2 linked regions of the Callithrix jacchus genome follow. The main gene of each other region encodes a partner of the protein of the gene in region 2 in a complex. Links are inferred from orthologs where the notes say so. Each region holds a gene or a part of one and is shown on either strand. Other genes may lie near its edges.

Region 1 (5,070 bases), on a different chromosome or scaffold from region 2:
GCCTCCCAAGTAGCTGGGACTACAGACACATATCACCACACCCGGCTAATTTTTGTATTTTTAGTAGAGATGGGGTATTGCCATGGTGCTCAGGCTGGTCTCGAACTCCTCATTCAAGTGATCCGCCCACCTTGGCTTCTCAAAGTGCTGGAATTATAGGCGTGAGCCACTACACCCAGCCGTCTAGCTATTTTTAAATGCTAGCTACATTTGATCCCTTTTTTCCTGTTGATTATTATTTGATTTTTGTTGTTTATTTGGTTTTAATTTGTTTCGGTATTTTTTTTTTCCCCTGTTGATCAGCTTGCTACTCCAGAAAAAGCTTCATAAGTTTGAGTTGGCCTGTTTGGCCAACCTTTGCCCAGAGACTGCTGAGGAGTCCAAGGCTTTAATCCCAAGGTTAGTACCAGTTGTAATCAGTTCTCTGTATACTGGATAAATTTCTGCAAATATAATTGGTGTATCTAAAATGTTTATGCATTTTCTCGGGCGTGGTGGCTCACGCCTATAATCCCAGCACTTTGGGAGGCTGAGGTGGGTGGATCACGAGGTCAAGAGATCAAGACCATCCTGGTCAAGGAGGTGAAATCCCGTCTCTACTAAAAATACAAAAATTAGCTGGGCATGGTGGTGCGCACCTGTAGTCCCATCTACTCAGGAGGCTGAGGCAGGAGAATTGCTTGAACCCAGAAGGTGGAGGTTGCGGTGAGCTGAGATTATGCTATTGTACTCCAGTCTGGGTAACAACAGCGAAACTCCGTCTCAAAAAATAAAAATTAAAAAAAATAATAAAATGCATAAGCATTTTATATTTGCATACATAATTGCCAATATTGAATTAAAGTGCCGTTTTAACAGTGAGAGTGATACCAAGTGATAGTAAAAATGAGGAACAGCTGGACTTCCGTATACTGATGGTAGGAGCATTAATTAGAACAACCATTTTGGAGAGCAATTTGGCTATGTCTAGTAAAGACGAATGTACTCCATGTTCCAAAAATCCATTCCTGGGTATGTATCTTTTTTTTTTTTTAGACAGAGTCTCACTCTGTCACCCAGGCTGGAGTGCAGTGGTGCAATCTCAGCTCACTTTAACCTCTACCTCCGGGGTTCCAGTGATTCTCCTGCCTCAGTCTCCTGAGTAACTGGGATTACAGGTGCCTGCCACCACACCTGTCTAGTTTTTGCATTTTTAGTAGAGATGGGGGTTTCACCATCTTGGCCAAGCTGCCTGGGTACATATCCTAAAGGTAACTCACACAAGTTTACAAGGATATGTATATTCCAGTGTTCATTGCTGCATTTTTTTTAAGTAGACATGGGGTTTTGCCATGTTGGCCGGGCTGATCTCAAACTCTTGGTCTCAGGTGATCTGCCTGTTTTGGCCTCTCGAAGTGCTGGGATTACAGGCATAAGCCATGGCGCCCAGCCTTATGCTGCATTGTTAATGATAGCAGAAATTTGATAATCTCTTGATCAATAAGAAAATGCATAAATGAATCATTGTATAGTCATAACAGTGTTTATTGTACAGCAGTGAAAAAAATGCACTAGAACAACATGGAATAATATCAACACATGCCAGAATGAATTTTGAGGAAAAAAAATTGCAGAAGGATAAATACAGTATAGTGCCATTTCTTTTCTTTTCTTTTTTTTTTTGAGACGGAGTTTTGCTGTAGTTACCCAGACTGGAGTGCAATGGCACAATCTCGGCTCACCGCAACCTCTGCCTCCTGGGTTCAGGCAATTCTCCTGCCTCAGCCTCCCGAGTAGCTGCGACTACAGGCATGCACCAGCATGCCCAGCTAATTTTTGTATTTTTAGTAGAAACGGGGTTTTACCTTGTTGACCAGGATGGTCTCGATCTCTTGACCTTGTGATCTACCCACCTCGGCCTCCCAAAGTGCTAGGATTATAGGCGTGAGCTACCGCACCCAGCCAATGCCATTTCTTATAAAGTTTGAAGCTACTGCATATTATATATCCATAAATGTGTAGTAAATATAAATATATATGTGGCAAGTAAAAATTTAAATGTAAGGCAATGATAAATTGTGGTTATTCCTGGGGGAGAAGGGAAGGTATAGGTCTAGGGTAGTATACATAGCCAACGACTTTTCCTGCTTGTTAAAGAACTCTGGCCAGGCGGGGTGGCTCACGCCTGCCATCTTAGCACTTTGGGAGGCTGAGGCGAGCAGATCACCTGAGGTCAGGACTTTCATACCAGCCTGGCCAACAGGGTAAAACCCTGTCTCTACTAAAATCATAAAAATTAGCTGGGCGTGGTGGCGGTTTTCTGTAATCCCAGCTACTCAATAGGCTGAGGTAGGAAAATCACTTGAACCCAGAAGGGGAGGTTTCGGTGAGCCAAGATCACGCCACTGCATTCCAGGCTGGGGGACGAGTGAAACTCCCTCTCAAAAAATAAATAAAAATTTAAAAATAAATAAATAAAATAACTCTTAAGAATTGCCTGAACCTGGGAGGCAGAGGTTGCAGTGAGCAGAGATCACGCCATTGCACTACAGCTTGAGTGACAGAGCGAGACTCCATCTCAAAAAAAAAACACTCTAAGTCAAGTGGGGCTAACTGTAAAGGTTTATTTTTTATAGCTTTTATCTTTTACATGTTGGAAATATTTTGTAATGTTTTTTCAGGAAAAGTGGAAAAGAAATACAGATGAAAGGTAAAGGTGTTAGAGATATAGGCAGATTATCACGCCTCAAAGAAGAGTGTGAGGAAATTGCCAGTTGCCAAGTCACTCATTCTTTCGGTTTTCTTGTTGTAGCTTGGAGGGGCGGTTTGAAGATGAGGAGCTGCAGCAGATTCTTGACGATATCCAGACGAAGCGCAGCTTTCAGTATTAATCTCCAGATGTCACTGCTTCTCAGAGAAACCATGTCCCCAGGCGTACCACCACCTTCCCAGGGGCTGGGGCTGACTTGCACAGAAATTCTACTGCAGAAGACAGTTGAGAATTCCTTTGGAGAAAATAGCCCAGCTTGGCATTGGGTTAGGTTGCTGTTTCAAATAACTCATAGGTCCAGGTGACAGGTAATCTTGGAGCAGCCTTGTGCAGTGGCTGCTAGTGGCTTTCCTGAATGTGCCTCTGGGAAGTGTGAGGTGGGTGTGTCACATAAGCCACACTATTGACTACCTCATTCATGGTTTTTGGCCTCCACGTCATCTTTTCTTAATATTTCCCTTTTTTTTTTTTTTTTTTGAGACGGAGTCTTACTCTGTCGCCGGGTGCCAGGGTGGAATGCAGTGGCACAATCTCGGCTCACTGCAACCTCCACCTCCAGGTTCAAGCAATTCTCTTGCCTCAGCCTCCCGAGTAGCTGGGACTACAGGTGCATGCCACCACACCCAGCTAATTTTTGTATTTTTAGTAAGATGGGGTTTCACCATGTTGGCCAGGATGGTCTCGATCTCTTGACCTTGTGATCCGCCTGCCTTGGCCTCCCAAAGTGCTGGGATTACAGGCTTGAGCCACCGCCCGGCCAATATTTCACGTTTTAATTTCAGTATGTTTATACTTTTTGAAACTAGACCAGAGCATAGTAGACTTTATAGAGAAAGACCTGTTTTACATAGATGCAAAAGGAATAATTAAACCGCTGTTATTGTTTGAAATGCCTGTTTTTGTCTTAATGGAATTAGGGTCTTAACTCTTGCCCAGGCTAGAGGAGTGCAGTGGTATAGTCGCAGCTCACTGCAGCCTTGACCCCCTGCCTCAGCCTCCCAAATAGCTGGGGCCACAGGTGTGCACCACCTTAAAAGATGAGAGTGTTCATGACAGAATGCCCTGGTATTATTGTGCCTAACCTAGGGGACAGGGAAGAAGCATGCCATGGGAAGTGTTTACACTTGGGGACAACTGTGCTAAGTATTGTGGAGCCCATAGCCTTGAGCGAGATGGCTACTTTGCCTTTTTTCTTGAACTGTCTTGCAGAATGTGGATTTGGGGCAAGTGGTCTTGAAGGACTCATTTAGTCACCCTCAAATTAAGATTCTACTTCATCTTTCTTGGGCCTGTACCTCAAACATAACAAAGAAAAGAAGAAACAGTGGTCATGCCAAAGAGGGCTGCAGCCAGGTGTACGCTGTGCACTCCAACCTATTTGCTGCATGAACTATGCCCATTGTGTGCCCAATGACAAGGCTTTTAAGAAATATATCATTTGACATGTAGAGGCTGCAGCAATTAGCAATGTTTCTGAAGCGGGCGTCCTTGACGCCTGTGTACTTCATAGGCTGAATGTGAGATTACACAACTGTGTGAGTTGTGCCATTCATAGCCCGGTAGTCAGGAATCAAGCTCATGAAACCCGCAAGGACCAAACACCTCCACCAATGTAGACCTGCAGGTGCTGCCCCTGACCCCCACCAAAGCCCATGTAAGGAGCGGAGTTCTGAAGGACTGAAGAAAAACTATTCTTTGGAGAAAAATAAAATTGCAGTTGTACTTAAAAAAATTTTTGCTTCATAGGCCAGGCTTGAAGTTCTGAAGACTTTGAAGTCTCCAATCTAAGCCTCTGGCTTGCTACTTAGCAATAGGTGTTCTATGATGGGCTGATTTGGAAGGAGGGAGTCAGCTACTCTTGAGCCACTGCAATGAAGTCACTTGATCTCAGTCTGGGGGGAAACACTTTAATAGCTAAACATTCTAGCTTTGATTTTTCTGAAGGAAAGACACCTCTTGAATTCTGGGATTTTTCTTTGGGGCATTTGCTTGACTGTATATGAACTTGGGGTCCAAGGAAAAAGGAGAAAGAATAGTGTTGGCTTTTATAGTCAGCATAGTTTTATGTTTGCTACTAGATAAGGCAAAAATAAAAACATTTTTATAAATACAGTTTCTGAAAACTGATTTCTTTCCTTTTTTTCTCTTTTGAGACAGAATCTGGGTCTGTTGCCCAGGCTGGAGTACGATGGCACAATCTTGGCTCACTGCAGCCTCTGCCTCCCAGGTTCAAGCAGTTCTCTGCCTCAGCCTCCCCAAGTAGCTGGGATTATAGGTGCCCGCGACCACACATGACTAATTTTTTGCATTTATAGGAGAGA
Region 2 (4,791 bases):
TTCATTTCTTATGGCTTTGTAAAAGCATTCTACAGTATCTGCATTTGAAAAGTCTTAAAAAAAAAAATTCACCACAATCCATCTAATAGGAGGCCAATCCCACTGTGTTGCAGAATCCTGAAAGTGAAGGAATGAGCAAGGCCACGCCTGCTGGCCCTTTGTCATGTGGGATTCCCAGTTCTGCCTGAGGATTCCATCATACATGTCACAATCAGAAACGTGGATGCCTTGATGTGAAGTGAAGGAGCCGCTCTTGTCAGTTCCTATATTCACTATTAGTTAGTGAAGCATAATTTTTTTTTTTTTCTGAGACAAAGTCTTGCTCTGTTGCCCAGGCTGGAGTGCAGTGGCATGATCTTGGCTCACTGCAACCTCCTCCTCCTAGGTTCAAGCAAGTCTCCTGCCTCAGCCTCCTGAGTAGTTGGGACTACGGTGTACACCACCATGCCCAGCTAATTTTTTTTTTTTTTGAGATGGAGTTTCGCTCTTGTTACCCAGGCTGGAGTGCAATGGTGCGATCTCGGCTCACCACAGCCTCTGCCTCCTGGATTCAGGCAATTATCCAGCCTCAGCCTCCCGAGTAGCTGGGATTACAGGCACGCGCCACCGTGCCCAGCTAATTTTTTGTATTTTTGGTAGAGATGGACGGGGTTTCATTATGTTGGCCAGGCTGGTCTTGAACTCCTGACCTCGTAATCTGCCTGCCTCAGCCTCCAAAAGTGCTGGGATTACAGGTGTGAGCCACTGGGCCCAGCCTAGTAAAGTATAATTTTTAAATGGAAATTAAAAACAATGTGACAAACATTCTAAAGCATTATCCCAAGGTACCCAGTTTTGTGCCCCTAGGTTGTGTACGCCCCACATAGGAAAGCACTGTGCTGTACCGTAGCTGCCTGGCATTTCTCTATATTCTAGTTATGTCATCATTCAAGGTCTGTTTAGTTTTCTCTTTCATTTCTTCTGATTGAAGATGTCTTCTTGACAGATAGCTGTATACCTAGCTTTTTTTCTTTTCTTTTCTTTTTTTTTGAGGCAGAATCTGCCTCTGTCACTCAGGCTGGAGTGCAGTGGCATGACCACAGCTCACTGTAGCCTCTGCCTCCTGTGTTCAAGCAGTCATTCCACCTCAGCCTCCCAAGTAACTGGGACTACAAGTGCATGCCACCACACCTGATTAATTTTTGTATAGATGAATATTTTTTGGTAGAGTTGGAGTTTTACAGAGTTGTCCAGACTGGTCTCAGTCTCCTGGGTTCAAGCGATCTGCCCACTTTGACATTCTTCCAATTTGCTGAGATTCAGGTGTAAGCCACTGTGCCCAGCCATATCTAACTTTGGTAGCTTGTATGTTTAGCTTCTCCCGTCTATTGGGAGCTCTTAAAGGCAGTAGTAGTTTGCATTTTATCATATGTCGCATTGCAATACTCTCAGCACATAGTAGTTACCAGTAAATTTGAATGAATAAGTGAATGAATTCACAGCAAATGCTCAATGAATGGTTCTTGTGCATGGTGTGTTAGCTTTATGTTTCCATCTGCTGTCTGTACCTTTTAGTTGGGAGAAGTGGTTATTATTCGTTTTCCAGGGCCTGACTGAAGCCCAGTGACGTTCAGTAACCTGCTCACTGTCAGGAAACTTGGAGTGTAGATGATTTTTTTTCTGTTGAAGAGTGATTTTTGTTTTGAATAAATAACATATCTCTTTGTACAAAAAGTAACGTTATATAATGACGAATAATGAAGAGGTCTTGTTCTCACCTCTCATCCTACTCATTTTCACCCCTCTTGTGCTTCCTACAGGTAGCCTCTTTTATTAGTTTCTTGTGACTTTTTTAGTGGTTCTCTATGCGGAAATAAAGCTCAAATGTATACTTATTTCTGCTCTTCCCTATATACAAGGGTTTATACTGCATATGTTTTTTAACATATATACTTTTTTCTTATTTACTTTAAAAATATTTTAGTTTTTAAAGCAGTTTTAGGTTCACAGCAAAATTAAGTGGAAAGTAGAGAATTCTCATCCATTCTCTGCCCATTCCCCCACAGCTTCCTCCACTGTCAACATCCTGCACCAGAAGAGTACATTTGGGACAACTGATGAATCCACATTGACAAATTACCCTTCAAAGTCCATAGTTGACATGAGTTCACTCTTAGTGATATTCTTTCTGTGGGTTTGTACAAATGACCTGTGTCTACCACTATAGTATGCTACTAAGCATTTTCACTGCCCTAAAAAACCTCAGGGCTCTGCCTATTCCTCCTTCCCTCCCCCCAACCCTTGGCAGCTACTAAACTTTTTATTGTCTCCATGGTTTTGCCTTTTTGACATTGTCAATAGTTGGAACCATACCGTATGTAGCCTTTTAGACTGGCTACTTTGCTTTAGTAATATGTATTTAAGGTTTCTCCATGGTTTTTCATACCTTGATAGCTCATTTCTTTGTAGCACTTGGTAGTATTCCATTGGCTGTGAATACCACAGTTTATTTACCCACTCACCTACTGAAGGACATCGTGGTGGCTTTCAGCTTTTGGCAGTTATGGTTGGCAGTTATGGATAAAGCTGTAATAAGCAACCTTCGGGAATTTTTGTATGCACATAAATTTTTGGCTCATTTGAGTAAATGCCAAAGATCATGATTGCTGGATTAATTGAATGGTAAGAGTGTTTAGTGTAAGAAACGGCTGAACTGTCTTCTGCAGTGTACCGTTTCACACACCAGCAATGAATGAGAGTTCCTGTTTGCATCCTCTCTAGCTTTTGGTATCTACGTGCGTGTGTGCGCGTTTTCATTGGATAGACATGATACATGTTTTTTAACGTATTAAATTTGTCCTGGACATCTTTTCAATTTAGCACATAGAGAACTTTTACATTTACTTTGTGAACATCTGTATAGTAGGATGAATGTGTTGTGGTTAATCGTCTTCTAATTATGTGCGCTTGGGTTATTTCTAGTATTTTCCTTTTAAACAATGCTACAGTAACCATAAGTCACTTTCCTATGTGGTGCTGCTATATCTGTAGGGTGAGTTTCTAGATATAAGACGGCTTGGTGAACGTTGAGTGTCTTTTCATATGTTTAAGGTCATTTTTAGTAATCTGTGTGTTTCTGTCTTTGGGCTATTTTCTCTTAGCTTTTTTTTTTTGAGACGGAGTCTGGCACTGTCACCCAGGCTGTAGTGCAGTGGCACGATATCGGCTCACTGCAGTCTCCACCTCCTGGGTTCAATCAATTCTGCCTCAGCCTCCTGAGTAGCTGGGACTACAGGTCTGTACCACCATGCCCAGCTAATTTGTTTTGTATTTTTAGTAGAGATGGGGTTTCACCATGTTGGTCAGGCTGGTCTTGAACTCCCAACCTCAGGTGATCCACCCAAAGTGCTGGGATTACAGGCGTGAGCCACTGCGCCCAGCCTTTTTTTTTTTTTTTTTTTTTTTTTTTACATAGAGCCTTGCTCTGTCCCCCAGTCTGGAGTGCAGTGGCATGATCTCAGCTCACTGCAGCCTCCTCCTCCCAGGTTCAAGCGGTCCTCTTGCCTCAGCCTCCCGAGTAGCTGGGATTACAAGCATGCACCACTATGTGCAGCTAATGTGTTTTGTATTTTTAGTAGAGATGGGGTTTCACTGTGTTGGCCAGGCTGGTCTCAAACACCTGACCTCAAGTGATTCCCCTGCCTCAAGCCTCCCAAAGTATAATCCCAAAGTGTTGGATTACAGCTGTGAGCCACCATGCCTGGACTAATTTGTTAGGTTTTTGACGTTCTTGAAATGTTAGGCAGATTAGTTCTTTGTGATATGAATTGCATATTTTTGTCAGTTTATCATTTTATTTTATAGAGCAGTGAGTCTCAATCCAGTACTGATTTCAGAGTCTTGTGTTCTTCATCAGTATGATTATACTACCTGGAATAATACATGTTTTTCATTCCTGAAGAGATTTATGTATGAAAAGATTTATGTACATGTAACTATGATTTAAGGCATTTAGCATTTTAAAACTATGTTCTAACAATTTTTTCACTCAATAGACACGGCATCAGCGAGGAGATACGCATCCTCTAACCTTAGATGAAATTTTGGATGAAACACAGCATTTAGATATTGGACTCAAGCAGAAACAATGGCTAATGACTGAGGTAAGAAAAGGCTGAAAACATTGTTAAAATTTATTTGATTATTGAGAGAGATTTCCTGTCACTAGAATTTTTTTTTTTTTTTTTTTAGACAGAGTCTTGCTCTGTTGCACAGGCTGGAGTGCAGTGGTGCGATCTCAGCTCACTGCAGCCTCAGCCTCCCGAGTAGTTGGGACTGCAGGCATGCGCCATGACGCCAGGCTAATTTTTGTATTTTTAGTAGAGACAGGATTTCACCATGTTGGCCAGGCTGGTCTTGAGCCCTTAAGTGATCAGTCTTTCAAAGTGCTGGGGTTACAGGCATGAGCCACTGGGCCTTGTCTAGAATGTTTTTAATATGATGAAATCTGATAATGGTTTTTACTTTTTCTTAAAAGAAATCTTGTAGGGTTGTTTTTTAGATGTATGCATTTATAATACTGATTTGTTGGTTTTCACGTACTTTTATGTATGTATTTATTTCATAATGTTAAAGGTAAACTTCTGTGTAAAAGTTGGAAGGAAGTCAATGTACCAGTTCCACTTATGTTTTTTACAGATTAATTAATGCTTAATTTGAATTGCCAGATTTATAATTTGTGTGCTTTTAAATTGAATTGTTTTTGTTTTAGAAAATTTTAAAGCGTTAGGTACTGCAGGGATAGGAAGATAC

The links. The genes of interacting proteins can lie anywhere in the genome.
Region 1: GTF2E2 (region 2) and POLR2D share a complex: the UniProt entries of both Homo sapiens proteins name them as parts of the TBP-based Pol II pre-initiation complex. The link is inferred for Callithrix jacchus from reciprocal best matches to the Homo sapiens genes GTF2E2 and POLR2D.

What each region holds. Positions count from the first base shown.
Region 1 is NC_133507.1:36,569,653-36,574,722, forward strand, and holds the end of POLR2D (DNA-directed RNA polymerase II subunit RPB4), read left to right. Parts: intron 1-303; coding exon 304-399; intron 400-2,791; coding exon 2,792-2,870; 3' UTR 2,871-3,639; downstream 3,640-5,070. UniProt on the Homo sapiens protein: Core component of RNA polymerase II (Pol II), a DNA-dependent RNA polymerase which synthesizes mRNA precursors and many functional non-coding RNAs using the four ribonucleoside triphosphates as substrates.
Region 2 is NC_133514.1:31,763,345-31,768,135, reverse strand, and holds part of GTF2E2 (transcription initiation factor IIE subunit beta), read left to right. Parts: intron 1-4,034; coding exon 4,035-4,142; intron 4,143-4,791. UniProt on the Homo sapiens protein: Recruits TFIIH to the initiation complex and stimulates the RNA polymerase II C-terminal domain kinase and DNA-dependent ATPase activities of TFIIH. Both TFIIH and TFIIE are required for promoter clearance by RNA polymerase.